2 linked regions of the Macaca fascicularis genome follow. The protein of the gene in region 2 interacts with the protein of the main gene of each other region in a biochemical or structural test. Links are inferred from orthologs where the notes say so. Each region holds a gene or a part of one and is shown on either strand. Other genes may lie near its edges. The genes, in order: NMU and NMUR1.

Region 1 (11,923 bases), on a different chromosome or scaffold from region 2:
ATTAAATGGGTGAATACACATCCTGTAAAGCATTTATTCGTAGCAGGTTATTATTATTTTGCAGATAGTATCCACTGTCCATTTTTTAGATAATGATGCTATTCTTAGTTAAGAATCATATCAAAGTGAGTGTAAAGACCAATGCTCTCCACTTGGCTTTTATAAAGTATTTTCTGCCCTGAAAAAATTAAAACTAGGAATTACAGCAGAGTCACTGATGCAGACATGTCCTAGGTGAATGCCTTCGTGAAGTGGGAGAGGAGGATTTCAAGTTACTAAGAACATCTAGGACTATGTAATAAAATTTGGATATTTCATGCCAAAAATAGACAAATTTTGCTTGTGCTAAGATGCAAAGACTGCCACCATCCGATCCAACATATTATAATAGGTGATCTAGACTTCAATCTTTTTTCAAAGTTGAAATATTATTCACATGATAAAATTCATCCTTTTAGAGTGTATAATTCAATGGTTTCTAGTCTATTCACAAGGCTGTGCAACTGTTACTACTAATTCCAGAACATCTTCATCACCCCAAAAGGAAACCATTACACTTAGAAGCAGTCACTCTCACCAATCCCTGAAAACCACTAATCTATTTTCTGTCTCCATGGAGTTGCTTATTCTAGACATTACACGTAAATGGAATCATACAATATGTGGCCTTTTGTGTCTGGCTTCTTTTGCTTGGGATAAGTGTTTTCAAGTTTCACACAGGTTGCAGCATATATCAGTACTTTGTTCCTTTTGGCCATGGCATGAGCTTCTGTAGTATCCTCTTACCTGGTCTCCCTGCTTCTATTCAGGTCCCCCAGAGCCTGATCCTCACTGAAGCTGGAGTGATCTTTTTCAAATATAATTCAGATCATCTCACTCCTGTTCTTTAAATCCCCCAAAGGCTTCCCATTTTACTTAGAGAAAAATCTGAACTCATTATGGCCTCTAAGACTCATCAATGATCAAGACCCTACCTTGCCTACTCACTCCGTGCCAGCTACACTGGCTTCCTTCTGCTCTCTAAACCTTTGAGACTTGTTTCTGCCTCAGGACCTTTGCACTTGATGGCCCCTCTGTCTGGGGTTCCTTTTTCCCAGTTCTTCCCATAACTCATTCCTTCTCATCATTCAGGCCTCCCATAACCCCTCCTCAGAGACGCATGCCTAGATGATCCTGGCTCAAGTATCTTTCCCCCAACTGCCAGCCACCTTCTATTATTTCATTACCCCGGCTTAATTTCTTTTATAGCATTTGCTACTAGCTGAAATTGCTAATTTTAAAATTTACTTTCTTATTATCTGACTCTCTTGAAAATCTGCCAACTCCAAGGCAGAGACATCACTGCTATATCCCAAGCTCCCAGAATGGAGCCCAGTAGGTGTTCGATTAATATTTGAAGGACTTCATGATTTCACCTTGCCTAGAACGCTTACATCTTCCAGATCTTGCCTCTACTCTTAGTTCCTGAAGCTGGATATTTTTGCTTATTACTAGACTTCCCTATTGCCAACTGACTGTATATGTGTATATATGTATGTATATATGTATTCATTCATTCATTCATTCATCCACTCATAGAGACACAGTTTCACTCTATTTCCCAGGCTGGAGTGCAGTGGCACAATCAGAGCTCACTGCAACCTTAAATTCCTGGGCTCAAGCAATCCACCTGCCTCAGCCTCCTGAGTAGCTAGAACTACAGGTGCATGCCATTGCATCCAACTAAATTTTCTTTTTATTTTTTGTAGAGATGACGTTTCATTATGTTGCCCTGGCCAGTCTCAGACTCCTGGCCACAAGTGATCCTCCTACCTTAGCCTCCCAAAGCTCTAGGATTACAGGCATGAAATACCACTAAGCTGCCTGACTGGTTTTTATCTATTGCTGACTCTCTCTTTCTCCTGATATCCCACTCTCCTCCCCTTCTAATCCTTTCCATGACAACTTTTCTAGACATCTCTATCACAAGCTAGTAGGTCTTGCTAATCTGCAGGCCCTTGACCAATTGAACTTTCATTGTTACAGATTGTCAGCAGAAAGCAAAGTCCAGTTGCCAATTTGTGGTGAAGAATGCAAGAGATAATAGGTGAGAGGAATCAGCATGGCACTAAGAATCAAACTTTCAATCTGATACAGAATAAATGGAAATGCTCTCAAAGCTCGTATATATGGAATACAAGCTCAAATGAATGTGAATTTAGAAGTACAAATTGGAATGTCTGTAACTAAATTATCAAGGGACCACTGCAGTGATCTGGGATTTCACTTCTTTGCAATGCTTGGACAAAGGGGTACCTGTAGAATCAGCTTCCATTTAGCCATCTGTTCCCAGAGGAATCCAGTGCCTATCGGCCCCCACTTTTCTACTCCCCTATCTATCTTCTGTTATCATTCAAGTCACATAATGGCATGACCTTCAAGCCTGCAAGTCTTTTCCTGAACATTTCTTCAAAAATAACAACTCATATTAAAAATAATGGAAGAAAAGCCATAAATAGGGAGAAAATATTTGCCACATATTTAATCAAACAAATGTTCCCAAATACATAAAGCATTGCTATAATGATTAAGAAAAAAGTTAACAACCCAATGGGGGAAAATGGGCGAAATAAATTTTCACTGAGATATTTCACAGAAGAGGAAGCAATAATGGCCAATAATTTGTGGAAAATTACTCAACCTCTTTTAGTAAACTGGGATTCCAAATTAAGTCCACAATAAAAAGTCACACTAGCCAGGCTCAGCAGCTTATATCTATAGTCCCAACACTTTGGGAGGCTGAGGCAGGGGGATTACCTGAGGTCAAGCATTCAAAGACCAGCCTGGCCAATGTGGTGAAACTTCATCTTTACTAAAAATACAAAAATTAGCCGGGTGTGGTGGTGCACACCTGTAGTCCCAACTAGGAGACTGAGACACGAGGATCCCTTGAACTGGGAGGGAGAGGTTGGAGTGAGCCAAGATCGTGCCACTGCACTCCAGCCTGGGTAACAGAGTGAGACTCCATCTCAAAAAACAAGAAGGAAAAAAAAAAAAAAGGAAAGAAGTCACACTCACCATATTGACAAAGGTTTCTGCATGAATGAATAGCCATGGAAACGTCATTCATGGTTGGTGGGAATGTAAATTGGTATAACACTTTGGAAAACAGTGTAAAACAGAGATTAGCTAGGTCATCCCCTATGACCTAATGACTCCACTCCTGGGAACATTCCTCAGAAAACTCTTGCACGTGTACACTAGGGGGCATGTACAAGAACGTTCTAAGCAGGCTGGTTCATGCAAGGAAAAAAAAAAAAAAACTTTAATACACAAGTTGTTTATTTTGCTGACTTGTTGGGGATATAAAAAACATTAAGCCCACTGTTTCAGGCTTCTCTGCTCTGGCTGACATTTCACGCTCACACTGGCTGCTGGGACTGGTGATCTTTCAGTGCACCTCTGGGAGACACCAGGAAGAATGTCATAGGGAAGCAGAGCCATGTTCACCTGCTTGCATCCGTAGGTCATTTACATCCTTTGTGCTCTTTTTTTTCTTTTTTTACTACTTTGGGAATAAATCAAAGTACAAGAATCTTGAATCAAATATTTTCTCACCCATCCCTGAACTTGGACCAGACCCTATAATCCAGCCTTTCTTACACGCTTCCTGTGTATAAAGAATTTAAAGAAGGTGGCCATTATTTTTTTACCTAATCTGTCAGGGTTTTACTCCTGCCTCTCTTCGTATTTCTGACAGAGCACTATCCCAATCTGCCTTGTAATTCAGCTATTTGAGTAAGGGTTTAGGGTCCTTTACCAAGTTATAACTTCCTTAGGAGAGAAAGATCCTACTGTCACTAAATCTTGTATCCCCAAAGGTCAGGTCTTGCTTACAGTAGGTTGAGCTGTGTGTGCCTAATACATTAAAACTCTGTATTTAGGGAGAAGTATCTTGGTGGAGTAGAATAGCCAGTGGCTGCCTCACGTGCTGACAGCCCTGAGCAGATTGTTTAATCCCTCTTGGCATCATAAATGAGAATTTCAGTACTTCTACATCCCAGAGATGCCATGAATATTAAATAAAATAACACGAGAAAATGCCTGACGCAAAAGTGCCCCTTCAGAAATGTTAATGTACTTCCTGCCCTTTCCTCGGCGTTCCTCGCCTTTCAAAGGGAGGTCAAATAAGACCGGTTTTCACACACTGGGACCTATGGGGGGGGGGTGGGGTGCGGGGACAGGGGGAGCATCAGGAAAAATAGCTAATGCATTCTGGGCTTAATTCCTAGGTGATAGGTTGATAGGTACAGCAAACCACTATGGAACACGTTTAGCTATGGGACAAACCGGCACATCCTGCGCATGTACCCCGGAACTTGAAATAATAATAATAAAGACGAGGTTTCCCTCTTTCTGTAGAAGGAAATTAGGACTGTATTAGCTGGTGTCCTGGAAGAGGCTGCTTCCTGAACGTTTCCAATCAAGGAAAGTATAGAGATGGAAAGAGGGAGTCAGGTCACGGTAGAAATCAGGATGCAATAGCAGCAGAAATGCATAGAAAAAGGAGTTTCCTTAGGCTTGGAAATCCGTAGGATAACCAGCGCTCCAGAGCTGTTAGAAATGTGTGTGGTCAAGCCCCAGCAGTCCTTTCTTCTTTATCTTTTATTAACAGGCAACTGCATTTCCCTAAGGGGTCTGTGATTTTGCAGGAATTTGGGGGAGGGTAGATAGCATCAACATCACCGTTGAACCAGCACTGCCCTGATATGCACCAGGCATTGAGCTTGGACCTGGGGATAAACCGGGGAACAAAACAGAGGCGCTTCCACAGAGGTGCGTACTAGGGGCTGCCGGAGCTCTAGCAGAGGTGAAGGAGAAAGCGCGTCCCACGCAGACCCAGGAAACCAGACAGCGTCGCCACTACCAAGTTTAAAAACTCAGACGGCCTGGTTTGCCATCTCCATTGTGTTCCCACTCCAGTCCTTCCAAAGGTGTGAATGGTGCATTATTTAAAGTCCATTCTCTTTATCCCAGAGCGAAAATGCGTAGTACTTGGGTCAGAAACTCAGGCCAGAGGGCTCGGGTCCCCCTGCAGGGTGGGGCGCGGGCAGGCAGTGGGGCGGGTGACGCGGGGTAGGCCGGGGGTGGCAGGCGGCGAGGTGACGTGCGGCGGGGACTGCGCAGCCCAGCCCACGTGTGCGCGAGATTTAAAAGTTGTCGGCGCGTCGGGCGCTCAGTTCTGTGTGTGGGCCCCGCGAGCGGCGCTCCAGGGCCGCTGGAGGCACTGCCAGGGCACCAGGTGGAGCACCAGCTCGGCGTGGCGCAGCGCAGGGTCCCTAGCAGCGAGCCTCCCGCAGCCGCCGAGATGCTGCGAACAGCGAGCTGCCCCCCAAGGTCGCCCCCCGGACAGGGGGCCGCGGCGTCCACGCTCCTGCTGCTGCTGCTGCTCGCCTGCTGCGCGGGCGCCTGCAGAGGTAAGACGGCCCCGCACCCGGCCGCCGCCACACCATGCGCGCCTCTCTCTGGCTCCACTCACCACTCTCTCCCGCCCTTTCTTTCACCTTCACTTGGTTTCTGGGACTTCTCTTGGCTTCTCTGGTGCCGCGGGATTTCCCGCCTCCCAGGCACAGATCGCCCCACTAGAGCAACTAGCAACATAGGAGCAAGGGGCCCGGCCGGGGCCGAAATCCCCAGGCCCCGCGCGTTGATGCCCAGCGGAGACCCTGCGCTGGGCCGACTGCGATAGGTGGAGACTGGTAGGGCTCCCTCATCCTCGGGATTTCCAGCCCCGCTGGCCCGTGGAAACGGGTATTAAAATAGTGAACGTTAAAATGCCTTCCCTTTGATTGCAATTATTGAAGGGATTGATGGTCGAAGCAAAACAAGAGTGAGCCTGATACTTCGTCCGCTGAGGCAAGGTAAACTTGGCGAGTGCTCAGCCTGTTTGGTGAGTGAGCTCGTGTTATGTTGACATAAACCTGAGCGGTACAACGGGCCCCACGCGCTAACCGCTTAGAAGGGGGAAGGAGTGGGCTTTGTGTTTTATCGGTTTTCAGGCACTAGATCAGGAAAAGGAATAGAGAACTTCTCATCACACAAAGTTGAAGAGGCAAATGTGCAAGCCAGGCTTTCAGGCAGTGCGACAGCTACAGCAAGTGATGGCAGATGTGATTTGATAACAATAGGGACTTCCTGAGCTTGGCTTAGAGGAAAGAAATAGGAAACGCAAGGTCAGGGAAGGAGATCGGAAGCTTTGGAGACATAGCCGAGCAGAATGCAAACGTTCTGGAGAGATTTGCATGGAGAGATCATTTTCTGGGTTCTCCAAGGGTTACAGCTTACGTTTGCAGGTGGCTTATGGGCACCATTATTCATCCCCAAGTCAGGGGTCCCTCCATTGTCAACCACTGCCTGGCTACATCCATAAATTTTCTAGCTTGGCAGGAGGTTCTCTTAGCTTCCCTCTGCTCTCCAGTCAGTGAGGTAAAAGTGGCAGACTGTTGTGTCATTGTTCAGAACGTTGGGTACTTAAAATCACAACTGCAGAGCCTGTAGTCCAGCCCTCAATTAGAGATGGGGAAATAGAGACCGCTATGCTTTTCCTAATCTATTTATTTTTACTGTTCTCCTCTCATTGTTTTGATTTTGTCCTTTCCTGAGGCATTGGAGGGGTGCGTGTGTGTGTGTGTGTGTGTGTGTGTGTGTGTGTGTGTGTGAGAGAGAGAGAGAGAGAGAGAGAGAGAGAGAGAGAGAGACTCCCCTACTTGAAAAGCAAGATAATTTGGCTTTGAAATCCAGGCAGTCAGAAGCTAGCAAACCCAAACGTTCTCCACATAGCCAGTAGTGATACATTACTTTCTCCCAAGGTAAATGTTCATCTTTTAGGATTTTAAATATATTATTGGTAACTTTGGATGGTAATCTTTATCTGCCTTCTTAAGGATGCAGATAAGCATAGTTTGAAAAGTGACTTTGCTATGTAAAGAAAATGGATTTCTATGCATTTGCATGCTATATGCTTGCAGTGAATTTGGCATCAGTGAATTTTGCATGCAGAGAAATTTGCATCAGAGATAACTGCCTTGGGATGGGTTGGAGAATTTCAGACTGCTGGTGATTGAACAGTATAGAAAGCAGCAGCTGGTTCCTAAAAGAGATGAGTCTTGGTTTTTATTTCCAAAAGAGCATATCTGCTGACATACCAATCGTCTCGTAGATAACCCCAATATTTTTCAAGCAAAAGAATGAGATACTTCCTTTACTACCCAGAAGCCCCCTAGATTGCCCTTTTGCATCTTCATTCCCCTTCAGACCTGCTATGAATACTAAAAAGTGAATTGTATCTCTTTAAAAATGTGGTAGGATGGGGAGAGGGTGAATAGCCATGTGATCTGTCCGAGTCCTGAGTCCCTAAAGATGGCACCGAGGGGGACGTGACATACATAAGCAAAACCCAGAGATTATCTACCATGGTCAATCATCATGCAAGATGCAACTGGATGCCTCAAAAAACAACACAACAAATGTTGCAATGCTAGAGGAAAATAAAAGTGTCATTAAATGCAGCATCCTTGGAAAAAAAAAGATAAAGGGTCAGCCACAGATTCAGTGGATGGAAACAATTTACTATTCAGAGCACACTAGTAAAATAAAGAAGGAAAATAAACACACTAGTAAAATAAAAAAAGATAAAGGGTCATGCGAAGATAAAGGGTCAGCCACAGATTCAGTGGATGGAAACAATTTACTATTCAGAGCACACTAGTAAAATAAAGAAGGAAACTTATATAAGAGGAACACATTTTGGATATCTGCAACAAACTGTTACTTGATTTTGCCTGTGACAATAAGTTATCAAATGGTCAAGACTAAGTTAAGGAGTGTCTTTTCCTGCCCAGGCCTCTTGCTCATAGAATAATTCTTAACGTTCACTTGACAGTAAAGATTTCTCACTTCCCAAACCCACAGTGAAGTACATACTCGCCATGAGAAAAGAAAATTGGCACTACTTTTAGAATAATCAGGTCTGTCTTTCTTATACATAATGTATTTACGGATGTACAAGTTTTTATTTTCAGCAGAGTATACTGTATAATACTGAAGATTTCACTTTGCTAAATAGTAATGAAGTATAAATATCTTGAAGTTTCTCACTGAAACTTATCAAAAACAGTACAGTTATGATACAGGCACTGTCTCTGAAAACACGGAAAGTGATCTAAGTACAGTATTGCTCTTTGACAGTGTGAAGTCCATATCCAGAATGAAAATCACATTGACTCTAATTAACACATAGACAAAGGAAAGAATAACTCCCCCTTACGTTTGGGTTCAGTCATAGGATATTAGTCGTCAGTCTTTTTCTTTTCGTGAGACGGAGTCTCGCTCTGTCGCCCAGGCTGGAGTGCAGTGGCCTCATCTGGGCTCACTGCAAGCTCCGCCTCTTGGGTTCACCCCATTCTCCAGCCTCAGCCTCCCGAATAGCTGTAACTACAGGTGCCTGCCACCATGCCCGGCTAATTTTCTTGTATTTTTAGTGGAGATGGGGTTTCATCGTGTTAGCCAGGATGGTCTTGATCTTCGGACCTCATGATCCGCCCGTCTCGTCCTCCCAAAGTGTTGGGATTACAGGCGTGAACCACTGTGCCTGGCCAGGATATTAGTCGTTTTCTACAAATCATAGAATTTTAAAAAAATTTTTGTCTCTTCTTATCTTTTTTTTTTAACCATGAAACTGTGTTTACATGTTTTTAGAAGGGCCACAAAATGTCCTTTTTCTATTTTATGGAAGTGCCTGGGGCTAAGTTAGGCATAGTGGCCTTTCTAAGTGGCCCATGCGAGCTTGGGAATTGGAAGGAAGCAAACTCTCCATGGTCCTGATGAGGCGGTGTGTCTGAACACAGTGAAGTTGAGGTGGAAGCTTCCACTTTTACTGGGGGCCAGGGATGGTCAAAAGTATAAGAATAAAAAATAGCATTATTTAAACAGGAATGCTCTGTCAAACAGAATCTCATTAAGTGAGATCACCAGGTGTTTTATATGGAAATTTGAGAAGCACAGCTTTATCCCTTCCTGAAAACAATGAGCTCCGGGTAGGATCTACCAGACAACTGTGACTTTGGGATATATGTTTATGGTAGGGTGAGAAATAGATATTTGAGAAGTGTGTAAGATTGTTTACCCACATTCAATAGTTGTCCCATGAGAGGGGACTCTGTCAGGTTCTGAAATAAAGCCACTCTTTTATGGACTGCATGACCTCTCTAAGTTGTTTCTAATGCTTAGTGCCACAGAAAATGTAGTTGATTACTGTCATTATTATTGCTGTTATCAGAACTTAAATGAAATAACAGTAAAAACTTGTATGAATTCAAGGCAAGAGTTGCCTAAAACATGATAGAATTAGGAAAAAAAAATCTGTCAGGATATGCAATCAACCAGACTGATTTTCTGAGTTTTTAGTGCACCTGTCATCCAAGAAACATACACTATACCCAATATGTAGTCTTTTATCCCCCAGCCTCCTCCTAGCCTCCCACCTCAGAGTCCCCAAAGTCCATTACATCACTCTATGTCTTATGTCCTCATAGCTTAGCTCCCACTTATAAGTGATAACATATGGTATTTAGTTTCCCATTCACTTCAAATAATGGCCTCCAGCTCCATCCAAGTTGCTGCAAAAGACATTACTTGGTTCCTTTTTATGGCTGAGAGATAGTCCATGGTGTATATATACACCACATTTTCTTTATCCACTTGTTGGTCAATAAGAACATAGGTTGTTTCCATATCTTTGCAGTTGCAAATTTTGCTGCTATAAACATGTGTGCGCATGTGTCTTTTTCATATAATGACTTCTTTTCCTTTGGATGGATACCTTGGATGGATACCAGTAGTGGGATTGCTGGATCAACCCATAGATCTACTTTTGGTTCTTTAAGGAATTTCCATACTGTTTTCCATAGTGGTTGTACTAGTTTACATTCCCACCAGTAGTGTAAAAGTGTACCCTTTTTACACATCCATGCCAACATCTATTGTTTTATGACTTTTTAATTATGGCTGTTCTTGCAGGAGTAAGGTATTAACTTGTGGTTTTAATTTGCATTTCCCTGATGATTAGTGATGCTGAGCATTTTTTTTCATATGTTTGCTGGCTCTTTGTATATCTTCTTTTGAGAAATGTCTATTCATGTTCTTTGCCAACTTTTTGATGGGATTGTTTTTTTCTTGCTGATTTGAGTTCCTCGTAGATTCTGGATACTAGTCCTTTGTTGGATGCATAGTTTGCATATATTTTCTCCTACTCTGTGGGTTCTCTGTTTACTCTGCTGATTATTTCTTTTGCTGTGCAGAAGCTTTTTAGTTTAATTAGGTCCCATTTATTTATTTTAGTTTTTGTTGCTTTTGCTTTTGGGGTTTTAGTCACAAATTCTTCGCCTAAGCCAATGTCCAAAAGCGTTTTTCCAATGGACCTTCTAGAATTTTTATTGTCTCAAGTCTTATATTTAAGTCCTTGATATGTCTCAAGTTGATTTTTAAGGTGAGAGATAAGGATCCACTTTCATTCTTCTGTATGTGGCTTGTCAGTTTTCCTAGCACCATTTATTGAATAAGGGTGTACTTTCTCCAATTTATGTTTTTGTATACTTTATTGAAGAATAGTTGGTTTTAAGTATTTGGCTTTATTTCTTTGTTCTCTATTCTTTTCCATTGGTCTAAATGCCTATTTTTATACCAGTACCATACAGTTTTGGTAACTATAGCCTTATAGTGTAATTTGAAGTCCAGTAATGTGATGCCTCCAGATGCATTCTTTTTGCTTAGTATTGCTTTGGCTATGTGGGCTCTTTTTGGTTTTATTTTAGGATTGTTTTTTCTAGTTCTGTAAAAAATGATGTTGATATTTTGATGGGAATTGCATTGAATCTGTAGATTGCTTTGGGCAGTATGATCATTTTCACAATATTCAGTCTTCCAATTAATGAGCATGAGGTGTGTTTCTATTTGTCTGTAGACATAAGTAATTCATTCTTGAGAGTAATATCTTTGTAATGTTATTAAGGTTTGTTTAGTAATTATGTCTCCTTGTACTAAATCTAATGCTGAAATATTTAGTTGAAATAGGTGGGTGATAATGTACAGTGAAAAATGAAGAAAGTGTCCAAGAAAGAATTATATATGGATATTTAATTTTAGAAGGAATGCTATAAAATTAACCTGTGGCTATAACTTTATTTTTAGGTGCTCCAATATCACCTCAAGGATTACAGCCTGCACAACAGCTACAGTTGTGGAATGAGGTAAGGAACTATCATCACACAAATTTGTAGAAACTTTACCCTTCTTTGAAATTATCATGTTAAAATCTATAATTGAGCTTTGGGAGAACTATGATTTTACCAATAATCTCATAATAAAACCCAGAATTACTATTTTTATTAAATAAAAGAGAAGGAAAGAAGAAAAGAAACAAAAATTTTGTAAATGGTTAACAGGGCAGAAACAAATGCCAATAACAGGATAAAATAGAATAATACAAGAACAGAGTAATTACAGTAAATGTGTATGTACTTAAAAGACAGAGGTTCTAAGATTGGATTTAAAAAATAGATCCAGATATATATTGTCTATCAGTATCACACTTAAAACAGAAAACAAAAAAAGACTAAGTATAAAAGGATGGACAATGATGTAGCAAGCAAATACAAACTGAAAGAGAATATATCTGATCAAATAGAATTCAAATAAATAAACCGTCATAACAGACAAATAAGGATCTTATATGTTAATAAAAGAAAACCAGAACAAGAAAATATAGACATCATTAATATAAACTAATAATGCAACCTTAAAATTTATTTAACAACTGATAGACCTTCAGGAAAAAAATAAAAACATTATAACTCAAAACGTATAAGCTACAGCTAAAACAGTAGCT
Region 2 (11,867 bases):
CAGGATGGGTCTCAGTTTCAAGGATTACTTGTCCCTATCCCTCCCCTGTCCCTCTTCTCACTGCATTGAGTTCGGCAGAACCCTCCACAGGGTCGCTCCTTGCCCTTGGTTGGCCATGTCTCTTGCTCTGAGACCCACTGGCCAGCCAAGTCCAATACTCTGCTCACTGGACCCCCAAGCCAGTCTGCACGTACGTGAGGACGGAGGTGGGCTGTGGTGGTGGGGTCAGCATCCATGCCGGCTCTGCCCTACTTGTGCTGGGAGAGGTTGGGGAGGGCATGTGGAGGTCAGGGAGGAAGTAGGGCTTGGGGTTGATAAAGATGCAGATAATAATTTCCGCCCTGTCAATCTGAGGGTATTGTTGGTTTCATTACAAGCGGTGCCTTACACACACAGAGAAAGAAAACCACAGCTAAAGTGCCAAAGCACGACACTGTGGAAAGCCAGCGCCTCTTTCATTTTTCTGGCAAGGAACTGAGGCCTAGAAAGGTGGACTGATTGGCCGGGCGCAGTGGCTCATGCCTGTAATCCCAGGACTTTGGGAGGCCGAGGTGGGCGGATTACCTGAAGTCAAGAGTTTGAGACCAGCCTGGCCAACATGGTAAAACCCTGTCTCTACTAAAAATTAAAAAAAAATTAGCTGGGAGTGCTGGGGCTTGCCTGTAGTCCCAGCTACTCGGGAGGCTGAGGCAGGAGAATCGCTTGAACCCGGGAGGCGGAGGTTGCAGTGAGCCAAAATCGCACCACTGCACTCTAGCCTGGGCGACAGAGTGAGACTCCATCTCAAAAAAAAAGAAAGGTAGGCTGATATGCTTGATGGCACATGACAAGGTGGCGACAGCAGGGCTGAGACTGGAACCAGGTCCCCTGGATCCCTGGGCCCCTGCCAGAACCTGAACAGGAACTGGGAAGGACAGCAAGGACCCTGTGGGACCGTTTCGGAAACTGGCAGGGAGTCCCCAGAGAGAGGACTGCTGAGCTCCAACTAACTGTGATATTTCTGCAGGGGAAGGACTTGAACTGGGGGAGTGGCAGTGGAGGGATAAGAAGCGCACGGTGTGGCATCTGGTCAGTGTGAGTCCTCAGCAATCAGGGATCCTTCCTCCTGCTATTTCCCTTGGAGGGAAACTGAGGTGCTGGTCAGAGTTTCTAGGCTGAACTAGGGACAGTACGTGAAGGCATCCCTGCAGAGGAAGGCAGATATGTCTCCCCAGCTCCAGGTGACCCTCTGGCCTCTCCAGGTGAAGCCACTTTGAGGCTCCACTCAGGATAAATCAGTCTCTTGCTGCCCCTCTGGGCCATCGTCCCCAGCCAGGGGGTGGACCCTGCTGCCTGGGGAGCCTACGTCACACAGGGTGCTGCCTGTGGTCACCCTGCTGAGGCTGTGGGAGCTGTGGCGGGGTCTGAGGCGGTGGCAGTGGGCCCCGAGGCACAGGGCCTCCTGGAATGTCTCTCGGAAGCGGCTGGACATGAGGCTGTAGAGCACGGGGTTGGCCGCCGAGCCGAGGTAGAAGAAGATGCCGGAGATGACATGCACATGCTGAAAGGCCAGGTGCAGGCCGTCTGTCCACTGTGACACGATGCTCCACATGACGCGGTCGGTGTGGAACGGGGCCCAGCAGATGCCAAACACCACAACCAGGACAACTGCAGGGACAGACAAGGGAGGCAGAGTGTCCACCGGAGCCCCTCAGCTGCCTTCCCAGACTTCAGTTTGGGTCACCCATTCTCACATCCTCTCCTATCCCACAGGCCACCCTCACCTATCACCCAGGTGGAAGTTTCTGGAAATTTGCCTGTTCTGGCCATGCCTCTCAGAGAGGCTGCCTTCACCACAGTCACTGACTATAGGCAGTGGGGCATGTCCCTGCCTCTGGCCACAGCCGACTGGACCAGGCATGGACACCTGAGCCCAGCCGGCCCAATCAGATTCTCACCCTGGAGTATGAAATTGGGTGAGCTACTGGCGTGCTACAGGCTGTGGGGCTAGGGCCACTCTGGATGCCCACTTGGGGACCGTGCTTGCTGATGCATAAGTACAGAAAAGAAGAAGAATGGGTGCTCAGAGAGCAGCAGACCGGAGGTCATGGGACCAGGGAGAGTGAGACACATGAGACACACACATGCATGCACACACAGACACACACACATGCATGCACACACATATGCACACACAGACACACACATGCACACACATACACACTGCCTGCCTTGGCCCCTGGCCTTTTCAACTCCAGCCCCCAGCTCCCCAAGGCCCATCTGAATGTCTCGCCCTGCACTAACCTGCCCCCCTCTTACTTGCCAGGCCCTTGCCCACCCCCTCCCTAACAAAAGGTAGGACCATTTGGCCAAACCTTCACTCTTTCTCCCCAAATCCCTGCTGCCTGTTCTTACCCAACTATGCCCTTCCTTGGGTTTCTGCCACAGGGCCAGCCATGATTTTTGTTTCTTGTTTCTTGGGTTTGCTGCTGCAACTCACTAGCTTTCCTGGGCAGTGTCTTCCCCATCATACCCTAGCATGGTTTTCCTCATAATTCCAGATTTCAAAAAGGACGTTGCTCACAACCTCCCTGGCACCTGGCCTGGTGCACAGAGGGCCACTGGACAGTGGACAAGGGAGGGAGGGAAGGAAGAGAGAAGGCCAGCAAGCAGGAAGCCCACCTTCCAGGGGTGAGCCATCCAAGCTGAGCACCTACTGCAGACTCTGCCCACCCATGTTTTCAGGGAGGGGACGGGGTAGCAGGCAGGAGGCAGGGCGGCAGCGGGCAGCCGGTGCTGAGCACGGTTCCACAGTGCAGAGCTGGGAGGCATGCACACAGCTCTGGGGTCAGCCCCACCTCAGGAGCTGCACGAAGACTGGGCTCTGGGACGGTGCCTGAGGGGCGAGAGGAGCGAGTCACTCTGGGGATGGGGCGGCCCCCAGTTAGCTGGCTCTGTCCAAAGTCTCTGTGGCCCTCTGCTGACCTGGCTCACCCCACTGGCCTGATTCAGGCTCTGCTGAGGTGGGGCTGAGCTGGGATGCAGGTAGGTGGATGGGGCGGGTCTTTGATCGGCTTAGCATCGGTCTGCCTTGCTTCCCCAGGGCCACAGCTTTTGAAAAAGAGCCAGGTCCAGGCCACAGAGATCCAGAGCCTCATCCCAGTACATTGGCCTCCCCTAATCTGCACATCTCCAGCCTGATCCCCTGTGCCTTGAGCGTGGCCTTTACAGACTCGCCTCGGGCTGGGGCTCCTTAGATAAATGGTCACTCCTGTGGTTCCCAGGGAACGGCAGACATGGCATGGGGGAAATTCGACACCTGGCCTCTCCAACACCCTCCTCCCCTTCTTTGGGGGACTTTGCTCCCCCAGATCCCACTATGTAGTTCCACTGGGGGCTGTGCACCTTGGCATCCTGCCACTCTGGCGCAGGAGGTGGGGCATGACCTAGGCCCCACCCATCAGAATCCTTCTTGGGACTTTTCACTCATCTCTAAGGGAAGAGGGCAGTTCCTCAGGAAAGACGACGACGTGCCGGTGGCCATGCCTCGCAGGCTGCTGCCGAGAAGAACAAGGCCAAGACACGTTAATAACCAAGAAGAGCCGGGCGCAATGGCTTATGCCTGTAATCCCAGCACTTTGGGAGGCTGAGGTGGGAGGATCACTTGAGCCCAGGAGTTCAAGACCCACTTTGGCAACATAGCGAGACCCTGTCTCTACAAAAATGAAAAAATTAGCTGGGCATGGTGGCACATGCCTGTAGCCCCAGCTACTTAGGCTGAGTGAGGTAGAAGGATCGCTTGAGCCTGGGAGGTTGAGGCTGCAGTGAGCCGTGGTCACACCACTGTACTGCCTGGGTGACAGAGCAAGACCCTGTCTCAAAAAAAAAAAGAAGACGACGATGAGAGACCTGAGACCTGGAGGGTCCAGATCCCATTTTCTGTCATCCTGGAGCCCAATCACATGCCCTGCCCTTTCTATGTTTTGGTTCCAGAGTCAGGGCCCCAAGCTTAGCAGGGTCCTGGGCTTGGTTTAATGCTGTATTGTTGCTGTCTTACTCATTTTTGAAAAAGGGACCTTGAATTTTCATTTTGCACTGGACTCCATAAATTACACAGTCAGTCTTACATTTAGCCATTAATAGGTATTTTTGGTGTAAGATTCTAGTGGGGTAATCTAAAAGAGTACACAAGAGTGCAACTCAGACACATGCACACATGTACACACGCACACGCACACACACACGAGACTAGAGGAGTTCCTCGCCCCCTGTAAACCCAGACACTCAGCCCCTTCTCCCAGACCCCAGGAGCCCCAGTACCTGGCTCAGCCCCTCTTCCCAGCCGTGACACTTACACAGCATCTTGGTCACTTGTCTCCGGCCCCGATCGCGCCGCTGGAGCCTGCAGGTGTCTCTGGACATGGCTGCTGCAGAGCCCCTGCCCTTAGCCTCCTGCATGAGCAGTAGCCTCTCCCGCCGCAGTCGCAGCCCAATGAGCAGGTAGAGCACGCTGATGACAGCCATGGGCAGGCAGAAGAAGAGCAGCGCAGTGATCTGCACCGCCAGGTTGTAGAGGGCCCGTGGGCGGACCAGCGTGCAAAGATCTGAGTCTGGCACTGGGCCCCGGCAGGGCACATACAGCTGCTGGATGCCGTGCAGGCTGGTGTTGGGCAGGGAGCAGAGGATGGCAAGACCCCAGACAGCCCCAAGCACTCGGCGCACGTGGGCCTGTGTCACCATGGACCTGGCCTGGAGCGGGTGCACCACGGCCACATAGCGTTCCACGCTCAGGGCAGTGACGTTGAGCACTGAGGCCAGGCAGACCATCTCGAACAGCAGTGTGCGGAAATAGCAGCCACCAGCACCCAGCAGGAAGGGGTAGTTGTGCCACATCTCATAGAGCTCCAGGGGCAGGCCCACCAGCAGCACCAGCAGGTCTGACACGGCCAGGCTGAAGAGGTAGTAGTTGGTGGGCGTGCGCATGGCCTTGTGGCGCAGGATGACCAGACAGGTCAGCCCATTGCCCACAGCGCCCACCGTGAAGATCAGCAGGTACATGACACAGATGGGCATGAACAGCTGTGTCTGCCGGGGCCCCAGGTACTTTAATCTCAGTGCCTCATCGGTCAGGTTCAAGTCCTCAGGGTCAAAGTGCCCCCTGGCCGCACTGCCATTGCAAGCCATGGGGCTCCTTGCATCCCCTGGGTACAGGTCTCCAGGGAGGACAGAGCAATTGAGGCAAGGAGGAGTCTGTGGAACAGAGGGGAGAAATGCCCAGAAAGGTCATTCAGGGAATGCTGGCTCTGTCTTAACTCATCAAGCCAAAGGTGACATTAGCACTAAGATGACCATTATCTTAGGCACCACTGAGAGAAAAAACTCTTCCATCCACAAGTCAGAGATGTGAAAATAAGCTTGGTGCGGTGGCTCACACCTGTAATCCCAATACTTTGGGAGGTCAAGGCGGGTGGATCACTTGAGGTCAGGAGTTCAAGACCAGCCTGGCCAATATGGTGAAACCCCACCTCTACTAACAATACAAAAATTAGCCGGGTGTGGTAGCACACGCCTGTAATTCTACTTGGGAGGCTGAGGTGGGAGAATCGTTTGAACCCAGGAGACAGAGGTTGCAGTGAGCCGAGATCGTGCCGCTGGACTCCAGCCTGGGCAACAGAGAAATACCCTGTCTCAAAACTAACAAACAAACAAAAAGTAAAAATCTACATTAAAAAAAAAAACACGTGGGGTTTTGATTTTAAATTTCAGGATCTATTGGAACTTTTGAATAAATGACACATCTTGGGTGTCTCCCCTTTCAAGCAATGATGCTAGATGAGGCACTCGTTTGGGCATCTGTAAAATGGGCACAATGCCTGGTATTGCAGGGTCTTCAAGAGCAAGCGCTCTAGAAGCAACTGCCTGGATTCGAATCCAGCATCCCCAGTTCCAAGCTGTGTGATGTTCAGCGAGGTAACCTCTCTGAGGCTGTTTCTCTATTAGGAGGATCCAGGGAGTTTAATCCATGAAAGATATTAACACAGGGCCTGCCTGGCATACGGAAGGGCACGGGGATCACCCCCTTGCTCCGGGGACCCAGTCACTATGAGGGTCAAGTGAGGGAGTGTCAAGGCTAAACACTACAAATTAAACTTGATCCACAAGTTGATTCTTTTTTCTGTTTTCTGTCACCTGAACTGTTCAGTCTCCATATTTGACGCCCTTGGCACTGCCAGTTCTGGGGTTCCCTCTCCTCTATTGAGCCCCACACCGTTCCTCCCGCCCGTCCTCACCCCTGCCGCACAGTAGCGCGAGAGCCTCGGGGACCAGTTGAGAACGCGCAGGCGCCAGCCTGGGTTCAAGGGAGGCACCCTGGTCCTCGAGGGAGGCGCCCCGGTCCTCGAGGAAGGGTCGCAAGCCCGCAGCCCCGTGGCGCCCCTGGCCGGAAGACACAAATGACCCGAGAAGTTGCGAGGCTCCCCAGTGGCGGGGGCGGGGGTCGCCCCGACGGAGTCCTCGGACTCTTCCCGCTCTAGGACGACCCTGCCCGCACCGAGCCCCGGCCCAGCCGCCGCGCCCTAGCCCACGCCGGCGCCTGCGCACCTACCATCGGCCTGCGGCCCGCGAGACCCCGGCGTCCACCCTCTGAGCGACTGACACAGACGCGGCGCGGGAGCGGGTGGACTGACTGACGGCTGTCCCAGCCCCACTACGCCCCGCCTGTCCGACCGGGAACGCCGCCAGGGGGCAGTGCAGTCCCTGCAGCCCGGGGGGCGCCCCCTCCCGCACCGGGAAGTACGCGGCTGTCGCAGGCGACGTCTTCACAAGCAGCGTTATCTCGCGAACCCATTTTACAGATGAGAAAACCGAGCCTTAGAGAGCTGCAGAGGAGGAGCCCGAGAGACCTGGGGCTCACATGCGGTTCCCGCTCTCTAGCGTGCTGAGTTTAGCATAACCCTGTGTCACAGTGTCCCTGCAGCCTCCAGCTCCTCCTGCCCCACATTCAGACCCACCTCCAAGGACAGGGACGGCCCACTAGCCCCTTGAAGTCGACATGCGCCGGTGGGGTTCATCCTCCCAGGCTCCAGCCCTCTTCTTCCGTCCCAGGGCCCACGATTGCGGCCTCCGCAGCCCCTCTCACCCGCCGCTCCCTTCGGGGCCTCCAGGCCCTAAGTCCAGGGGCTCGGCCCTGCGGGACTGGGCAGGAGCCCCCATTCTCCTCGTAGTCCATCCTCCCACAGCCACCAATGACCATCACGCCTCAAAACCCTTCCTTGGGGCCCCCCGCTGCCTTCTGAAAAAGAGCACACCCAAGTCTAGCCTGGTGGTGGACCCCCCCACTCCTCACCTGCCTCCCTGGGCCACCCTCTCCTCACCATGGTCCTCAGCCCCAAATACTGTCCCCCTTATCCGTTCAAATGTTCTTCTGCCCCCATCACTGTACAAAGGGTGGGGGTATAACAAGGATGGAGGGAATTTAGGGAAGGCTAAGGATGCCCAGCCACAGCCTCCTGCTCCCCCACACTGCCCACATGCAAATCCCAGTGCCTCACCTGCCCCCACTCCCTAGTCCTGCAGTCAGCTCCTTAGCTGGAAGCTGTTTCATCAGGAACTTCTAGGGACCCTAGAAACGACTGATCACGCAGACTAAAATGCTGGTTCCGGGGCCTTTGCCCAGAGTTTGGTCTCCTTAGTCTGGGCAAGGCCCAGAAATCCTCATGTCTGACCAACGCTCTCTGGAGAGCCCATACCCAGGAATCACACTTTGAGGAGCGCCAGGAGAGGCTACAAAGCCGCAGGACCCCGAGAGCCACTGTGAGCTCCCAAGCTCTGTGCCTCAGTTCCCCTTCCTGTAGAATGCGCTAACCACCATCGCCACTATTGTGAGGATGACATGAGACACTGAGCGTCAAGATTCAGCACAGAGGCTGGCACATGGCCAGCAATCAAGAAATGTGGGGTAGGATTGTCATCATTTAGTGGTGGGAGGCTCCTTCTTCCCCCAGCTTTCCTGCACCCTTCTCCTCCCCACTGCCGCCCAATTCCATAAGTCACTGTCTGGGCTTGGGGATGGGAGTTAGGCCCTCAAGGCGCCAGCACCAGGCCGGCCTTCCCACGAACTCCACATGTAAACAGAGTCCCAGGCAGGGGACGGTTGTGGGAAGTGCAGGGGCACATGGTCCCCAGGGCCTTGGGAGAAAGGATTCTGTGGTGCCCTGAGAATTAACTATTCAGCCCCGGATGAGCTAGTCCAGGAGAAATTCTCAATAACGGGTCTGGGCAAGGAGGGATGACATCACTCAGCAACAGAGCCCACTGTGGCATCACAGGCTGCTCATAGCAAGTGATGAGCATTTGGACCCCAGCCTTTCACTGGAACACACACACGCACACACACGCACACACACGCACATGCATGTACACACACATGCATGCACACATCACTCTGCACATACCACCGCACACACACATACACACATACCATTCTGCACACACTCTGAGCAGTCCAAAAGTCCCTGTGGACCCTTTGGTGCACACGGCCCTGGAGGGGATGGGGAAGGACCCACCCAGCCTTGCAGAGGCAGAGTGACTCTTGCCAGTCAGAAATTTCCTACAGCAGGCTGCATCATTCGCACAGCACTAGCAGCCATCAAACGCTAAAGAGCAGCCCCCAAAAAGGAGAGGCTCAGTGGCCACAATGGCTGTGGCCCTCACTTCTGCCACTGTGCAGAGGGCCCTAGGGGTCCTGGTCTCTGGGCCTGAGCTCAAGGCCACCACGGTAGTGTCCCATCAGAAATGTATGACATCCTGCTGCTCCTGCTCCGTCCTGAGGTGGCGTCCCCCGGTTTTCTGGGTGTACACATCCATCTTCTAAGCTTGGCTGGTGGGCGTCTGCCCAGATGAGGGGGTCAAGGACCCAACTCTACACAACAGCAAATGCACTTGGGGGGGGCCACCAGGACCTCCAGGAGCTGCTGAGATACCACCCAAGTCCCAGGCATGTGCAGGACTCATGGGGCCAGAGGCATGTGAGTAGCTCCGTATCCCCTCCTTGCCCTGCTGATTCCCTGAGAGCCAAGAGGGGCTGCTTAAACCCAGGGCAGGTTTAAACCAGAAGCTTCTCAGCCTTGGGGTGACCAGCAGCTCCTGGCAAGCCCATGGTTCCCCTAGAAACTCCCCACACCCATCCCACTTTACTGTCTACAGAGGGGAGGCAGGGAGGATGAGATGAGCTTGGGGACACTATAGCTCTGGACGCAAGGGAGGCACTGTTCTGCAGCCTGGGCAGTGGGGACCACCCAGGACCCCCCATCACTGGGCGTCATCGGGCAAACATGGAGAACCAGAACAGTAAATATCCGAAGCAAGGGGGAGTCACTGTACCCGTCTGGGCACCTCCCAAGGTCAGAGAGCTCCCCACCCAGCTCTGCTCTGCGGGGTCAGCCTGGCCATGGCCAGGAGAGAGAGGAGGAAGGTCTGGGCTCCTCAGGTGATGGGGTTCCCAACTTGGGGGCTGGGATTGCACCTCAGGGAGCCACATGGCTTGTGTGTGATCATCCACCCATGCTCCCTGAGCCACCAGCCCTAGTCTGCTCATAGAAACTGGTGGGAGAGATGGTCAAGCCAGGCAGAGAACACAGTGAGTACAGGCTTTGGAGGCTGTGAGGCCAGAGTGAGAATCCATGTTCTGCCAGTGTGGCCTCAGATAAGCCACTTTGCACTTCAGGCCTCAGCTTCCTTGCCTGTAAACACAAAAATAGCCCCTGTCCTTCAGGGATACCATGAAGATTAAGAGGGATAATGTGGGTTTAAGCACTCAGTGCAGGGTTGAAGAGCCTGGAATTCTCTGGAAGACACTAGAAAGCTGCTGGGAGGCAGGGCTGGGGTGGGAGCTGTCCTTAGCAGGGTTTGGAAGAGCAAGGTCCCCAGCACCCCGGGCAGGAGAGCTGAGTCCCAGTGGAAAGGAACATACAGGCTTGCAGGGAGTCCGGCCACAGTGCAGGCAGCCGGGGCCCTGCAGCCAGGTGGGGACCAGCAGTGGAGGGGACCTCAGGGGAGTGTCGCCCCTGCCTCTCTTGCTCCTCGAGGGGACCACTGGGGATTGTCTAGTCCCTTGCCCCCTGAGGGCTGTGAGACCTGTTCCTGAGCTCTCCCAGAGACAGCCAGCCCGCAGGCTTCAGGAAGGGTGCTGGGCACAGGGCACCAGCCACCTCCTCCCAGGGGCTCAGCCTGTGTACCAGGCCCCAACGTCCGCTTGTGGCCAAAGGGAGGACATGTTCAAGTCACACAGTGAGAAGGCCAGAAAAAGCCTGGGTCTCTCATGTCTAGGGCCTGTGTGTCCCTCATGCCATCCTGGACTGGGGCCAGATCTTACTGTGAGCCCACAGGGTGCTCGTGGCACCTACTCCTCCAAGCAATAAAGGCCACCCTCAAGTCCACCAGCCTTCCCAGCTAACAAACCACACTTGGGTGTGTTACAGAAGCTCCTCTTGGGGTCTTCCCATTTATAAATGCTCATATCATAGTCACGATCAGAGGGAGGTTTAAGAACAAAAGTTTCTCCCCCAGCAACAGCTGACCGGCATCAGGACTCAGGAACTTGTTAGTCTGCAGCAGTTTGCGCTAATTTAGTAGTTTTGTCTTCTTTTCCCTTTTAACTTTTTTTTTTTTTTTTTTTTTTTTTCTCAGACGGAATTTCACTCTTGTTGCCCAGGCTGGAGTGCAATGGTGCAATCTCAGCTCACTGCAACCTCCACCTCTCCAGTTTAAGCAATTCTCCTGCCTCAACCTCCCAAGTAGTTGAGATTACAGGTGCATGCCACCACACCCGGCTAATTTTGTATTTTTGGTAGAGACATGGTTTCACTATGTTGGTCAGGCTGGTTTTGAACTCCTGACCTCAGGTCATGCATCCACCTTGGCCTCCCAAAGTGCTGGGATTACAGGTGTGAACCACCGCGCCCGGTCCTGACCTTTTTAACCTTTTATATTAGCATTATTTCAGACCTACAGGAAAGTTGAAAGAATAGTACAAAGGATTCCTATATTTTGGGGGGGACTATGAGAGTCGGTTGCAGACATAATGCGCCTTTACCACTAAATGTTTCTGTTTTGGTTGAGTTTCGAAGTGTTCTATGAATACCATTAGTTCCTCCTGTCCACTAGGCAGTGGCCTACCAGGCAGTAGGTGTTAAGGCGGCAGTCCGCCTGGCGGGAGTAATAGTTTATCACCGACAATGATTAGAATCACCGGCACATCGTGATACTAAAAAGCAGGCCACTTTTAGTCAATTCAATTACTCTTTTCCAAACCTTCTCCATTATCGCCTGTTCCCAAGGCAGGCTGCTGCCACAGCCAATAGATACTAAAGCAGTAAATATTCAGAGTGCGAGGAAGGTCAGCATTACAAAGGGAATAACACTAAATTGGGGGAAATAATATCAAAGAACCGGAAAGTGGAAATGAAATGACAGTGGTGCATGCATACGGAATGTGTCTTTCTAGGGTTGGGGTGTTCTTAGGAATAAAGACTGAATCAGGAGGTAAGTAAACAGTGCTGGGCGTATCAACAGCAACTGTTGGATACAGGGAAAGGGGACCAAAGGCAGGTGCACTGAGGGTGTGTGATGGAGGAGCGGGCACCAGCACGGGCACGGTTGGCCTAAAGCTAAGAGAAGGCCAGGTATGTGAAGACTGAAAGACAGGGTGCCAGAAGATGTTCCTGTTGAATGGTTTTTTGTTGTTGTTGTTGTTTTGTTTTTTGAGAGAGGGTCTCGGTCTGTCACCCAGGCTGGAGTGCAGTGGTGCGATCTCGGCTCACTGCAGCCTCAACCTGCCTGGCTCAATCAATCCTCCCACCTCAGCTTCTCAAGTAGTTGTAACTGCAGGC

The links.
Region 1: the proteins of NMUR1 (region 2) and NMU form a complex in vitro, tested with the Homo sapiens proteins (2 studies listed by BioGRID). The link is inferred for Macaca fascicularis from reciprocal best matches to the Homo sapiens genes NMUR1 and NMU.

What each region holds. Positions count from the first base shown.
Region 1 is NC_088379.1:78,258,405-78,270,327, forward strand, and holds the start of NMU (neuromedin-U), read left to right. Parts: upstream 1-5,217; 5' UTR 5,218-5,347; coding exon 5,348-5,456; intron 5,457-5,547; exon of another isoform or gene 5,548-5,929; intron 5,930-11,226; coding exon 11,227-11,285; intron 11,286-11,923.
Region 2 is NC_088386.1:127,446,487-127,458,353, forward strand, and holds the start of NMUR1 (neuromedin-U receptor 1), read right to left. Parts: upstream 6,695-11,867; 5' UTR 6,587-6,694; coding exon 6,584-6,586; intron 5,230-6,583; coding exon 4,335-5,229; intron 1,648-4,334; coding exon 1,265-1,647; 3' UTR 1-1,264. UniProt on the Homo sapiens protein: Receptor for the neuromedin-U and neuromedin-S neuropeptides.